2 linked regions of the Stegostoma tigrinum genome follow. The main gene of each other region encodes a partner of the protein of the gene in region 2 in a complex. Links are inferred from orthologs where the notes say so. Each region holds a gene or a part of one and is shown on either strand. Other genes may lie near its edges.

Region 1 (7,076 bases), on a different chromosome or scaffold from region 2:
ACCCTGTTAGGACAGCAGGATGTAATTGTACATACAATCCCAATTCCTATCTGTGGACTCTTACCGACCAACCCCACGCTCAGCATCGGAGGCGTCTCTGCCATAGTCTGTCCAACGCGTCAGCAGCTCCGTTTCTATAAATGAATGGGGAAACACTCCCTCCGAATATATCTTCAACAGGAATTGAACAATAAATCACTACAGATTGAAATGAAACTGTTGCTGTACTTTGCTAACTGTAGCTATCACTGAGCTGCTATACTAATACAATGTCTATACAATGTAACTAGCAACACAAACACTGTTCATCTCAGTTAATTTTACAAAATGCGGGTTCTGTCACTAATTTGCCGCTACTAAACTTAATGTAAACTTAGTACAACTGTTACTCTTTCGCTTTCTTTTATTTCGGAAGGGTTTTTTTAGATCAAAAATGCAAACAGCATTTCCTCCCTCTTATCTTTCAGGACCTCCGGCTTCACATTAAAACCCGTCCGACTGTCACTGAGGGGATTGTGTCAGGACTTCACACAGAGGGTGGTGCGTTTATGAATGAGCTATCAGACGAAGTGGTAGAGGCTGGTACAATTACTACATTTAAAAGGCACCTGGATGGGTATATGATAAGAAGGATTTAGAGGGACGTGGGCCAAATACTGGCAAATGGAACTAGATTAATTTAGGATATCTGGTCAGCATGGACGAGTTGATCTGAAGGATGTGTTTCCGTCCTACACAATTCTATGACTCTATGCCTGAGGTCACTGGACAGAGACGTGCAAAGAATAATGTAGAACACACTCTCAAGGACCTAAACCTTTACGACAAAAGGATATTTTGAACTTTGTTTTCTGTTTGAGTAATCTTACACTGAATACTCCGAATCAAAATGAAGCCCATCATTGGCGTAAATAAGACAATTACAAAAATTTATTCTCAGGTGGTAGGCATCATCGGTCAGGCCAACATTTATTCCCCATCCCTAATTGCCCAGAGGGTAGTTGAATGTCAAACACGTTGCTGTGAGTCTGGAGTAATGGGTCGGCCAGGCGAGGTGCTCCTATGATGCCTCTTGGCCGGCTGTGTTCACCCAGTTCTACACCTTATTATCTCAGGTAGGGATGGTAGTTTCCTTCCCTTAAAAAACATTAGTGACCAGATGGTAACACAGTGTGGAGTTGGAGGAACACAGCAGGCCAGGTAGCATCAGAGGAGCAGGAAAGTTAATGTTCAGGTCTGGACTCTTCTCTAGAAATTTCTGAAGAAGGGTCCCGACCTGAAATGTCAACTTTCCTGCTCCTCTATGCTACCTGGCCTGCTGTGTTCCTGCAGCTACACGCTGTGTTATATCTGACTCCAGCATCTGTAGTTCTTACTATCTCTGAGTGAACTAGATGTTTTTTTTCCAACAATTGACAATAGTTTCAGAGTTACTATTAGACTCCTAATTGCAGATATTTATTGAATTCAAATTTCATCATCTGCCTTGACAGGATTCAAACCCAGACTGCCAGAGTATGACCAGGGTCACTGGATTAATAGTGGACCTATAATACCACTAGGCCATCATGTCCCCACTAACAAAAAGTACACTGCAGTTCCATTAGCACCCAAAAAAGGGTCCCATTGCAACAACTGTTTCTAGCATATTCTGACAAGTGCATCCCACATTAATTCCCAATGTCAAAATGAGCTGTTTAAAATATTGTTTAAGATATCAGAGAAATAACATGAAACATCTTTGTATACTGGCTCCTAAAAAAAGGGAAGCTGAGAACTCTTCAGAATTTAATTGTCTTCTCGTACCCGCTACATATTAAAATATGTTGTTGTTATTTAATAATACAAAGTATAAATGAAATGACCAGCAGTTTATGTATAGGCGCTTGGTCAGATACCATTTTGTTTACATAATCTAGCTCAGCGGTCTCCAAACCTTTAAGGTTAATATCACTATTTAAGTGCAACCAGGATCTACCTTGAAGAATAAAATCAAACAAACATTTTATTTTTAGGGATATGTAAATCTAAAGCCAAGTATAAATAATTATTGATTTGTAATTTATTCATCAAGTCTCATGTGACATCTATGACTGCCAGTGCTTTGAAATCAGGTTTGTAATCTATCACTAATCTATTGTCAGGATTTGTTTCTAGGGTTTATGATAAGCTTGCATTGATTGGATATTGGATGTGGGACATAGCAGCATTTCCCATATTTTTGTGGCCATGCCCCACATTTTTCTTTGTCCTGCATGGTTGTGTTGGATAAGCTGGACTAAGCTCTGACACCCCCTTATGCACCTGCTCTCTCTCAAGGAGAATTAAATTGATAATATCCATTTATAAAATCATTGAAATCAGCACATTCTTTTAAAAAATGTAACAGACTGACATTCCAAACAGCAAGACTTACTGCATGATACTCTTACAAAATATCAATACAATCAATTTAAATTGAAGTTGTAGATTGTAATTATTTAAGGAAAATAAACTTGTTCATCTGTAGAATACCAGAGTATTATACTACTGAAAATAAATATTTTCCAAACTTGTCTGCATTCAAAAGAAAAACATCAAAATGTACATTATGTTGACATTCATTGTTTATCACTAATTGCTATGAAAAACAGTGGTGTGGCTTTTCTTGAAATACTAAAGTCTATACATTTATTTGTAATAGTAGTTGAATATATCTGAGTGCCTTATTGGACTACTTCGCTTGGTTAAGAATCAAACATTCCAGTGTGAGACCACAGTCATCATTATGTCAAACTAAGTAAGCATAGTCCACCACATTCCCCCACTCACCCACTTTAAACAACATTACTTACTGCCAAACCATCTATTCACTTTTACTGGTGCCAGCCTTTTATTTCCAGTTTTTAATAAAGTGATCTCAAATCGCCATATAGCATTGCAGCTTTTGAAGTCAGTTCTTTGGATTATTGGTCTAGTAATATAATCACATTTATAATCCTACAACATGGAATCTCAGTAAGCATTATTATTTGCTTATAATGAAAGCATGTAATGTTTTTGTGAAGTTAGTAATCCTTGGCTATCAGGCTAAATTTTAAAATGATAATTCCAATAATTGACATGTTCTTTTTATTTTTAATCCCATGTTTATCAATAATTGAAATACACTTTGGTTTAAACAATGGTAAATAGATCAGTTGTTTTAACAAACAAAGTGCATATAATGGCAACTGCGATTTGGATGGGGTTATGCTCTTGCTTCAGACTCAAGGGCTGTTCCCCCATTTCAGATCATAATAAACTAAAGTGTGTAGCCAGCTGGATCGCCACCCTTGCTTTGTTCAGATGAGAAGTTAAAGTGAGACTCTCTATATTTTCACAGGAAAATATACAAAATCCCACAGTATTATTTCAAGAATAGACTTCTACCCTGTCTCTGTATTTATTCCTTAATCTGTACATCATATTTAAAGAAAAGTCAGGTCATTGTCTGGTTGCTCTTGATGGCAGTTTGTTGAACATATATACCTACATGACAACAAAGACTGAACTTCAGAAGTATTTCATTGACCATAAAGGTAGTGAGAAATAGGAACAAGAGTTGGTCGTCAGGTCCTTCGCGCCTGCTCCAGCATTGAAAATGATTATGGCTGGTCCCACATTGCACACTCTTACTTCCCTGCCTTTCTCCGTAATCCTGGATTCTCCAACTGATCATGAATCTGTCTACCTCCGCCTTAAAAGATACACAAGCAATTTGCTCTCAAGAGCTCTTTGAGGCAAGGAACTCTAAAGATTCACAACCCTCTCAGAGGTGAAATTCCTCCTCATTTCAGACTTAAACTGGCGCCCCGAGGGTTCTGCGAACTGAGATCGTGAAAGGTGGAACAGAAAATGATGTTTTTTCCGCCTGCTCTCCTAACTGTTTTATTTAATTCTCCACAATCCACAGAATGCTCATACCTGGAACTTACTAAACTTGAAAGACTTGAGTGGGTCGCAGCGCGCATGCGCCGGACGGCTTGCTGTTGGAGTGCGCCTGTGCAAGGTCCCGACGGGCGCCGGGCGGGTCACGTGGGGGACGTATACGTCACGTGACGCCGGCCTCCATTTTGAAACCGTCTGTTCAGTGCCGCGCAGCTCCGCTGGTGGTAGTTCAGGCTGTTGAGGGAGTGCGGAGTCTGAAACTATGCCGGCGTATTTTCAGAGACCCGAGAACGCCCTGAAAAGAGCCAATGGTAAGTGGCCGGGGTTAGCGAGGGGAGAGATTTGGCCTGGGCCATGCGGCTGAGGTGGCGCTGACCTGGAGGAGGGTGAGGCTGCGGCTGCGGCCTTGTACCAGGCCTGTGGCTCATGCACATGTTGCTCGACCTGTCATTAACTTAATGGCGATTCCTTTTTATATAAAATAGAACATTGATTTCGCTTGTCACTTGCTTTATTTTTTTTCGTTAAAAATATCTGGATTTATGCATCGTCCTGGAAGGGAAATTTTCCTGATCTTAAGTTGAAATTTAAGTTGTATTTTTGAGCCTAGATGCTTGCATCAGTAAACTAGTTGTTAGACGTCTTTACCTTTTTTGCACATCTGATACTATCTAATGTTTAATTTTGTTTTGAGGTTGAAAGCCATACTGATGATTCATGAATATTGAGTTTTCCCTATTCATCATTGGTCCTCCGACCAAATAAAATGTATTCTTTCAGTTTAGTGATTGTGTTTATTTTGTTTATTTGCTGATTGGGTCTCAGATTAATACCATCTTTTGGGTATACTGAATACTGTTATCTTAAAGGATGTCCCTTTTTTTTCTGAGATAATGGGAACTGCAGATGCTGGAGAATCCAAGACAACAAAATGTGAGGCTGGATGAACACAGCAGGCCAAGCAGCATCTCATGATGCTGCTTGGCCTGCTGTGTTCATCCAGCCTCACATTTTGTTCCCTTTTTTTTCTTATTAAGGCAACAGTTTGATTTATCTAATCTGCTTAAAATGTTTTCCACTTTGGTCTTATCTAACTTTATTTTGCAAGGATATATTTTGTTAGTGATAAGGTGGTACTTTATGTAATGAACTGGGAGTTGGAAGTGATATCTGGGGTGTGTAGTGCCTTTTGATTTGGAAATATATTCTAAGCAGATCTTTCCAAGAAAATTGGGAAATTTTAAGGATTATGTTGCATTATAATAAATGCAACAAAGGTTCCTAGGTCTGTAGGAAGTGTGTGAAACCAGTAAAGGAATGGGAAGATTTGCATGATGTGACAGGAAAAGCAAGAAAGTACTAAAAATAATAAAAGTTAGTGGGGCTCATGGGGGATGGCAGGGTGATATCAGAAAATAACACTTGTTAGTTTAGCATCAGTTTAAGTGAAGTTCCTGGATCCTAATGTATCTATGTGAATGAACTTGTATAGTCTAATCAATACAGATCAACATAGATTTGAAAAGTGTTACTCATGAGGGCTGAGAATGAAAAATCAAAATTGTGGTGGTTGGTAGACATTATGGAGATGCGAAGTCCTCACTTTAGATCTTGAGATAAATCTAGATATTCACTTGCCTATGGCAAAATGAGATTTGGCATCAGTATACACAAACAATCCTAGAGCTAACGGTATCTTAGTGCTTGTTTACCAACAGGAGGAAATCCTTTCGGTTGGCTCAGTGACACAGCCCTGTTTTGGCCCAAATTTTAATTGCACTGGGTCTGGGGTTCCGTTAGTGAGAATCAATTCTTGCGTGACAAAGTAGAGCAGGCAGAGGATAGTGGCCAGATTTGAGGCCAGCCAAATTTGAGAGGACTCTATCAGCTTTCGTATTTGGCAATCAAGAGGCCTTTGTGAGGCTGATTAAAAGCCATGTTGGTGCTGTTGCTTTTCTTTAAAGAAAGTCCTGTTTAATCGATCGCAGTGTTTTTTGTACTTGTATGCACTTCAGAGATTTGGATGAGTTAAAGCTGACACTTGAAAACACTGGAGACGTAGCATCATTGGTACCTTCAAAATCTTTCAATTCCTGTGGCAAAACAACCTAATAGCAAAACTGTCTCAAGTAAGTTGTCCAGGGTTGAGACACCACACTCAAACTAGCTTTTCTGGGAGGGACATGTTGTTTGGTTGATACCAGCGATCTAATCCTTTTTCTCAACTTTGGAACTCTGAAGAGAAGTGTGGAAATGTGGTGATTAGCTTGGAATTAAACAAATTGCCTGAATCATAGAAGACCTGAGCTTGATGCTGACCAAATGGAGAAAGTTTATTCAGGAAGACGCCAAACACATTGTGAACATGCGGAAGCAAAGCCAAAGACATTTCGAAGGAGGAAACGCATGTCTGGAAAAACATTCAAGCAGCACTTGCCCTAAGTGACAGACTGCACATTGGTCTTACCCATATTTTCAGAACCAATATACAATCAAACTGGAACAAAAGCAAGTCCTTCTGTCCTCAGGTACTCTTTCAGATGAATAAGTTTGTCAAAAGTTTTAGTGCTCAGTAGCCTACCAGTGTACATTAAAATTTTGGAAGAAAATCAGTGTTTTTCATAATCAAAGTATATTTGATTTGTGCTGAATGCTTCGTTTCAGAATTCCTGCTAACGAATGAAATAGACCATGTGTTAGTCTCAGATACACACATTGTTTAACTTGCAGTCCTTTTGACTGTTGTTTTTCATGTACTGAATGGATCTGCATGATTTTTAACTCATTTGGATTTTGCTTCCCCTCTTTCTCACCTAACCAACCCAATTCAGAAGTTGACTGTCACCATAGATGAAAAAAAGGAAGGACAGGGTGCTAAGAAAGCTATGACATGTAGCAGGAGAAGGAATAAGCCCAGGAAAGTTGCTACATCTACAAAGTGCAACCAGTTCACTGGCTCTGGCATCTCCAAGGCCACAAGTGTAATTAACTTATTCATCAACAGTATTTTGGAATGCATCGTGGGGGAGTTTTCCCACCTGACCTGTTACGAATGTGGCACCATGAACTCTGGGAGATCCAGACCGCTGTGAGTCTGCTGCTGCTAAGAGAGCTGACCAAGAATTGTCAGAAGATACAAAGAAGGTGACCAAAAACACCAGCTTGAA
Region 2 (7,878 bases):
CCACAGAGTAACCTGTCTCTGTGCTGACTGTGGAATCTTCATGTCCGTAAACTGCCTATTTGCATTCACAATAACAGCTCCTGTTTAAACATTGTTAAAAGGAGACTAAAAGTTGAAGGTTTTTGTTTTGTTCTTATCAAGAGTGCAAAAAAACTTTTAAAAATGGACATCAATTTATACAGAATGAGAGAAGCATGCTGATTGGCTGGACCCCACCGGCATCAGTCTTAATTCTCAGAGCAGACAGGAAAATTCTGATTCGGCAGTATCTCCATGGGAATGCAGCTAAGATTGGCATTCCTCATGGCCATATCTCTTCTCCATGAAAAAGGTGCAATGTACATATAAATTCCTGTTGACTACATGACACAGGATCCTGAGTATTTCTGTACATAGCTGTGAATACGCGCTCTGCGGGCCCCACTGATGATTTTGGTTTCCAGTTTTACTCTCAGTGCAGACTGACTTATTTAATAAATGATTCGCAACAACAGAATCACATCTAATGGTGGATATACTTTCCTGACCCTAGCAAGCATGGGCTGGTTGAGTGTGAATGGCCTGCTTCCAGTTGAGAATGGTCAGTGGGAATTGTTGTTAATGTGGTTTGTCAGTCAATAGATTTTACGATCTATAGACCTGCCAACCACCACACACCAGGTCTTGTTATCACATGGCCTGCAATTGTTAGCCACCAATAGTTGATATCAGCAGCCATTCATTCTCCTAGGTTGGCCATCATCCCTCCTTTGTCTGTCCAACTGTTCTTCTATCTCTTTGGGATCTAGCTGCACATATTGCTTGCTCCTTACCCCCTCCCATCACCCTATCTTCTGCATTACAGCCATCTCTATTTCCAGCAACAAAAACAGAAGTTGCTGAGGAAGGGTCACTGGACCTGAAATGTTAACTCTGATTTCTCTCCACAGACACAGCCAGACCTGCTGAGCTTTCCAGCAATTTTTGTTTCCGTTTCTGATTTCCAGCGTCCACAGTTCTTTCTGTTTTTTAAAACTCTGGTCAGTTTGAACAGACCAGTCAGAAAGACTGGGGTGCAAACACTAACCAGCTCCAACGATCACAGTCATTCTGGAACAGCTAGAGAGCAGGAGGGAGATCGTGGTAGTAGTAATGGTGTAATCATGGTTGTAATGATGGCTGTGTCAGAGTTGGAGAACTGGGCAACACCAGTAAGAAAATATCAATTCTGCGAATTGTTCTATGGGTTCAGTTGAACAGTTTGGTAAAGTTAGGGAAAAAACAATGAAAAGCAGGAAGGGACTCTCATAATTGCAGCATGCTGGCTGTCAAAAAGCAAGTGCTAAACTTGGTCTTGCGCTAGCGAGTTTTGAGAAGATTTGTAGCTCAGGTTGAGGTTCTGGATGTGAGTTTTCTCGCTGAGCTGGAAGGTTAGTTTTCAGACGTTTCGTCACCATTCCAGGTAACATCATCAGTGAGCCTCCGACGAAGCGCTGGTGTTATGTCCTGCTTTCTATTTACCTGACATCACCAACCCAAGGAAACCTAAACAGATAAATAGAAAGCGGGACATAACACCAGCGCTTCGTCGGAGGCTCACTGATGATGTTACCTAGAATGGTGACGAAACGTCTGAAAACTAACCTTCCAGCTCAGCGAGCAAACTTGGTCTAGCGCTGTTAAGAAATCAACACTGGCTTTGTGGTTTTGGTTGGTGTGGTGAAAGGATGATCATAAAAATCACATTAATGACAAATCATGACTCCGTTTACAACAGTGGTTCAGTGATGAGCACTGCTGCCCCACAGCAGCAGGAACCTGGGTTCAATTCCAACTTTGGGTGACTGTCTGTGTGGAGTTTGTACATTCTCCCCGTGTTGTGTGGGCTTCCTCCCACTGTGCAAAGAAGTGCAGGTTAGGTGGATTAGCCATGGGAAATTGCCCATAGTGTGTCAGCCAAATGAATAAGCCATGGTAAATGCAGGGTTGGGGTAGGGGAGTGATGCTCTTTGAAGAGTCGGCATGGACTTGTTGGGCTGAGTAGCCTGTTTCCACACTGTAGGGACTCTATGATCATTCACTAATTAAATTTTTACTTGAAATAAAGATGGCTAAAGCGAAAACCAAGCGATTCTCCTGCTGGCAGTTCACATGATTTTAGGAATGCAATACAGTACAGCATTTCAAAATAATTTTCTTACCTTGTAATTAAGAAATAAAAACTTCATCTCTACAAAGAGCTGAATGACAACGTTTCTAGACTTAACCTTTTCTATTCCCTCCGTGCCCTTCTTCAGAAAAGGGTTTGTTCCACCCCAAAGCAGTGCCACAAGGAGGAGGCAGCAAACTTCCACTGAAACAAAGACATTGACGAAGACTCTAAGGAAATCACACTGATTGATATTTCAGTTCCATCGGTGACATTTCAAGAAAAACTTTACAATATGAGGCCAAGCCAATATTCACCACAACACGGTGAATAAATTGACAAAAATTGACATTTTCCTAGCTATCATCAGTTTTGAGGAAGGGTCACTCAACCCAAAATGTTAAGTCTGATTTCTCTCTTACATACAACTTTCCTGCAGATATCAGCAAATAGTTTTAAGGACTGTAATTTCTCCCCCTCAGTGATCAAAAAACGCACTCAACTGCACCTCTTGCATTTCCCACGGGTCAGCCCTCACACTCCCTATCCGCAGTAACAACAAAGACAGTATTCCCCTCGTCCTCACGTACCACCCCATCACCCGATCCAAAGCATCATCCTCCGACATTTCCGCCATCTGGAATCTGACCCCACCACCAAAGACATTTTTCCATCCCCACTCTTACCTGCTTTCTGGAGGGACCACTCTCTCCTGGACTCCTTTATCCGCTCCACACTCCGCTCCAGCCCCACCATCCCAGGCACTTTTCCCTGCAACCGCAGGAAGTGCTACACCTGCACCTATACCTCCTCCCTCACCTCCATCCCAGGCCCAAAAACACCTTCCACATTAAACAGGTGTTCATCTGCACCTGTGCCAATGTGGTCTTTTGTATTCGCTGTTCTTGATGTGGCTTCCTCTACATCGGGGAGACCAAGCAGAGGATCAGAGACCGCTTTGTGGAGCACCTACACTTGGTTCGTGAAAAGCGACACAAGAGCACCTCCCAGTTGCAAACCACTTCAACTCCCCCTCGCACTCCCTGGACGACATATCCATCCTGGGCTACCTTCAGGGTTACACTGATGCCGGCCGGAAGCAGGAGGAACAGCACCTTGCATTCTGCCTGCGAACCCTACAACCCATTGGTCTCAATGTGGACTTTACTAGCCTCAAAATCTCCCTGCTCCCAACTGAATCCTAAGACCAGCACCTCCTCAAACCCTCCTCCTTGATCTGTCTGTCTTCTCTCCCACCTGCCCGCCCCCTCCATCCTCATTAACCAACCCCTACCCCAACTCCTTACATACACTCACCTTCACTGGCTCCATCCCTGCCTCCTTGAGCTGTCCATGTTCACTCCACCTATCTGCTGGTCTATCATCATCTCACCCTCTTTCTGTTTATTTCTGAAGGAGGGTCTAGGCCCGAAAGGTCAGCTTTCCTGCTGCTCTGATGCTGCCTGGACTGCTGTGATCATCCAGCCCGACACCTTGTTATCTTATTTGAGAAATGCACAATTGTTTTTCAATAAAGACGGCTGTGTTTGTGTATTTCCTAATCCCAAAGACATTTGATGAACTTGTGGGGACTGAGATGGTTTGAATTTTGAGCGTTTGCTCGTAAGGAGGAAAAAAAGGGAGCGCTCAGTCCTGATATCTACCCAACAAGATCAGAGAGGAGCAACTGACCAGAGGGAGGGAGTGAGTATGGGTGACCGCAGGGAAGGAGGGGGGAGAGAGAGTGACTGCGGGGAAGGAGGCGGGGGAGCGAGTGACCTCGGGGAGGGAGGGGGGGGGAGAGAGAGTGACCGCGGGGAAGGAGGGGAGAGAGAGAGTGACCACGGGGAAGGAGGGGAGAGAGAGAGAGTGACCGCGGGGGAGGAGGGGAGAGAGAGAGTGACCGCGGGGAAGGAGGGGGGAGAGAGAGTGACCGCGGGGAAGGAGGGGGGAGAGAGAGTGACCGCGGGGAAGGAGGGGGGGGGGAGAGAGAGTGACCGCGGGGAAGGAGGGGAGAGAGAGAGAGAGTGACCGCGGGGAAGGAGGGGGGGAAGAGAGTGACCGCGGGGAAGGAGGGGGGGGGAGAGAGTGACCGCGGGGAAGGAGGGGGGGGAGAGAGTGACCGCGGGGAAGGAGGGGGGAGAGAGAGAGTGACCGCGGGGAAGGAGGGGGGAGAGAGAGTGACCGCGGGGAAGGAGGGGGGAGAGAGAGTGACCGCGGGGAAGGAGGGGAGGGAGAGAGTGACCGCTGGGGAGGAGGGGGGGGAAGAGAGTGACCGCGGGGAAGGAGGGGAGGGAGAGAGTGACCGCGGGGAAGGAGGGGAGAGAGAGAGTGACCGCGGGGAAGGAGGGGAGAGAGAGAGTGACCGCGGGGGAGGAGGGGAGGGAGAGAGTGACCGCGGGGGAGGAGGGGGGAGAGAGAGTGACCGCGGGGGAGGGGGGGAGAGAGAGTGACCGCGGGGGAGGGGGGGAGAGAGTGAGTGACCGCGGGGGAGGGGCGGAGAGAGAGAGTGACCGCGGGGGAGGGAGAGAGTGACCGCGGGGGAGGGGGGGGGAGAGAGAGAGAGAGAGAGTGACCGCGGGGGAGGGGGGGGGGAGAGAGAGAGAGTGACCGCGGGGAAGGAGGGGGGGGGGGGGGGAGAGAGTGACCGCGGGGGAGGAGGGGGGGGGGGGGGAGAGAGTGACCGCGGGGGAGGGGAGGCGTGTCCCGGGGTCTGGCGGGAGGCGGGTGTTTTGAAGATCACTCACCGACGGTCGCCATAGCAGCGGGTTACTTGATCCCTGACCCCGCCCAGGGTCATTTCCGGCGGCGCCAGACACATCATTTCCGGGTTCTCTACAGGCTCCGCTGTCAGCATGGTGAGTGTTGGAGAGTAATAATGTGGGTATTAGAGGGACTGAGGGGGCACGGCGAGTGTTAAAGAGTAATAATGGGGGGGTAATAGAGGGACTGAGGGGGCACGGCGAGTGTTAGAGAGCAATAGAGGGACTGAGGGGGCACGGCGAGTGTTAAAGAGTAATAATGGGGGGTAATAGAGGGACTGAGGGGGCACGGCGAGTGTTAGAGAGCAATAGCGGGGGGTAATAGAGGGACTGAGGGAGCACGGTGAGTGTTGGAGAGTAATAATGTGGGTATTAGAGGGACTGAGGGGGCACGGCGAGTGTTAAAGAGCAATAGTGGGGGGTAATAGAGGGACTGAGGGGGCACGGTGAGTGTTAGAGAGCAATAGTGGGGGGTAATAGAGGGACTGAGGGGGCACGGCGAGTGTTAGAGAGCAATAGTGGGGGGTAATAGAGGGACTGAGGGGGCACGGCGAGTGTTAGAGAGTAATAATGCGGGCATTAGAGGGACTGAGGGGGCACGGCGAGTGTTGGAGAGTAGTAGTGTGGGTATTAGAGGGACTGAGGGGGCACGGCGAGTGTTGGAGAGTAATAATGCGGGCATTAGAGGGACTGAGGGGGCACGGCGAGTGTTGGAGAGTAGTAGTGTGGGTATTAGAGGGACTGAGGGGGCACGGCGAGTGTTGGAGAGTAATAATGCGGGCATTAGAGGGACTGAGGGGGCACGGCGAGTGTTGGAGAGTAGTAGTGTGGGTATTAGAGGGACTGAGGGGGCACGGCGAGTGTTGGAGAGTAGTAGTGTGGTACTCTGGAGATTTAGAGGTTACAGTGAGTATCGTTAATTTGATTTGTTGTAGTCCCGTACCTATGTACAGTGAGAAGTTTTCTTTAAGCAATACAGGCAGATCATAGCAAACACACAGATCATAAGGTGTTGAGTTTGAGCGAGACATACAAGGTTATGGCTGCAGAGAAGGTGCATAAAAGCAACATTAACATAAGGTTTGAAGTTAGAGAGGACCATTCAGTAGCCTGATAACAGAGGGGAAGAAACTGTTCTAGAACCTGTTGGGGCTTGTTTACAAGCTTCTGTATTTTCTGCCTGACACAGACGAGTTTGGAAAAGAGAATTGCAAGGGTGGGTGGAGGATCGGGATCTTTGATGTTGGCTGCCTTTCTCCAGCATGCGTAGATGGAGTCCATGGATGGGAGGTTGGCCTGTGTAATGGTCTGGACTGTGCACACAACTTTCTGTCGTTTCTTATGGTCCTGGGCAGAGCAGTTGCTGTACCAAGCCATGATGCACCCAGATGGAATTCCTTTTTAATGTGCATCTGCAAAAGTTGGTGAGGGTCCTTATTGACATGCCAAATTTCCTAAGTCTCGTGAAGAACTCGAGGCATTGTTTTGCTTTCTTGACTGTCGCAACTGTGTGGGAAGACCAGGACAGCTTGTTGGTTATTGCATTGCTTATTAAAGAGTAATGATGGACATAATATAGAGAGGTAATTGTATGTATTGAAAAGTAAGAATGCTAATACTATTTAGATCAGGATGACTGTTGCAGGGAGCAAGAGAAATATATTTCTATGGTACAAAACTGAGTTGTGGCCCTTAAACCTTGAGATTTACAGACTTTTAGTATTTTATCAATATGTTGAAATTGAGTAATTAATGGAGCTTAATAAAAACCAAAAGAGCTGCTGCAGTTGCTGTAAATCAGGAACAAAAACAAAGTTGCTGGAAAAGCTCAACAGGTCTGGCAGTATCTGTGGAGAGTTAACGTTTCAGGTCCGGTGACCGTTGCTCAGAACTGGAATTAATGGAGCTTGTTTCATTGCTGTAATACATCATGTTTTAATTTTTTTTTGCAGAAGCCCATCCTGTTACAAGGTCATGAAAGATCAATCACCCAAATTAAGTACAATAGAGAAGGTGATTTGCTGTTCTCTTGTGCAAAAGATACTGTAAGTATAACTTACAAATGATGGAATGTTGTGATAACTTATTCCATTAGTTTGCTATCTTGGCTGCAATATTCACATTGTGCATGTGTGTAATTACAACAGAAAGACTTGGGAGCAGAAGTAGGTCACTCGGTCTGTGAAGTCTCCTCTGCCTTTTCTGGCTGATGTGATCATTCTCAACTCCACTTTTCTGCCTTTTGCCTCCACAATCTTTGATTCCCTTGCTGACTAAAATCTGTTTATCCCAGCCTTGATGGCCCCTACAGTAAAGAATTTCACAAATTTGCTAACTTCTGAGAGCGTGTTGGCTCAGCAATTAACACTGATACCTCACAGGGCCAGGCATCTGGGTTCAGTTCCACCCTCGGGCGACTGTCTGTGTGGAGTTTGCACATTCTCCTCGTGTCTGCGTGGGTTTCCTCCGGGTGCTCCGGTTTCATCCCACAGTCCAAAGATGTGCAGGTTAGGTGGATTAGCCATGCTAAATTGTCCTTAGTGCCCAGGGATGTGCAGGCTTGGTGGGTTAGCCATGGGAAATGCAAGGTTACAGGGATATGGTGGGGTGTGTCTTGGTGGGATGCTGTTGAAAAATAAAAATAGCGTCATTTTCTACCAGTGTGAAGCAAAGTAAGTTCCTTTCATTGTGCCTCTGCTCATCTCTTGGGTAACCATAGCTCTGGTAGTGCAGGTTTTGAATTAGCAATGTATAAAAAAAATTTGTCTTTCTATTTTGAGGTCATTTCCTTGAGCCCTTTCTGCTATGGAAAGTGAAATAAGGTGAAATATTTGTGTAGTCAAAATGTTGAAATCCTTACTAACTGTCCACTTTTGATTATTCTAAAAGACAATGGTGTCTGTACACTGGGCCTCTGACTCGGCCCAAACCTATGCTAAACAAAATGGATAAATCCCATATCCCTTCCTGAGTAGATAGACATTGTTC

Evidence for each region. Proteins that work in one complex are often made in the same cells at the same time.
Region 1: eif3i (region 2) and eif3s10 share a complex: the UniProt entries of both Homo sapiens proteins name them as parts of the eukaryotic translation initiation factor 3 (eIF-3) complex. The link is inferred for Stegostoma tigrinum from reciprocal best matches to the Homo sapiens genes EIF3I and EIF3A.

The regions. Positions count from the first base shown.
Region 1 is NC_081373.1:17,491,764-17,498,839, forward strand, and holds the start of eif3s10 (eukaryotic translation initiation factor 3 subunit A), read left to right. Parts: upstream 1-4,070; 5' UTR 4,071-4,171; coding exon 4,172-4,220; intron 4,221-7,076. Other genes in the region: dennd10 (DENN domain-containing protein 10), read right to left, coding at 65-104. UniProt on the Homo sapiens protein: RNA-binding component of the eukaryotic translation initiation factor 3 (eIF-3) complex, which is required for several steps in the initiation of protein synthesis.
Region 2 is NC_081377.1:45,623,239-45,631,116, forward strand, and holds the start of eif3i (eukaryotic translation initiation factor 3 subunit I), read left to right. Parts: upstream 1-4,865; 5' UTR 4,866-4,875; coding exon of another isoform or gene 4,876-4,888; 5' UTR 4,889-4,983; coding exon 4,984-4,986; intron 4,987-6,842; coding exon 6,843-6,935; intron 6,936-7,878. Other genes in the region: tmem234 (transmembrane protein 234), read right to left, coding at 2,181-2,332, 4,876-4,888. UniProt on the Homo sapiens protein: Component of the eukaryotic translation initiation factor 3 (eIF-3) complex, which is required for several steps in the initiation of protein synthesis.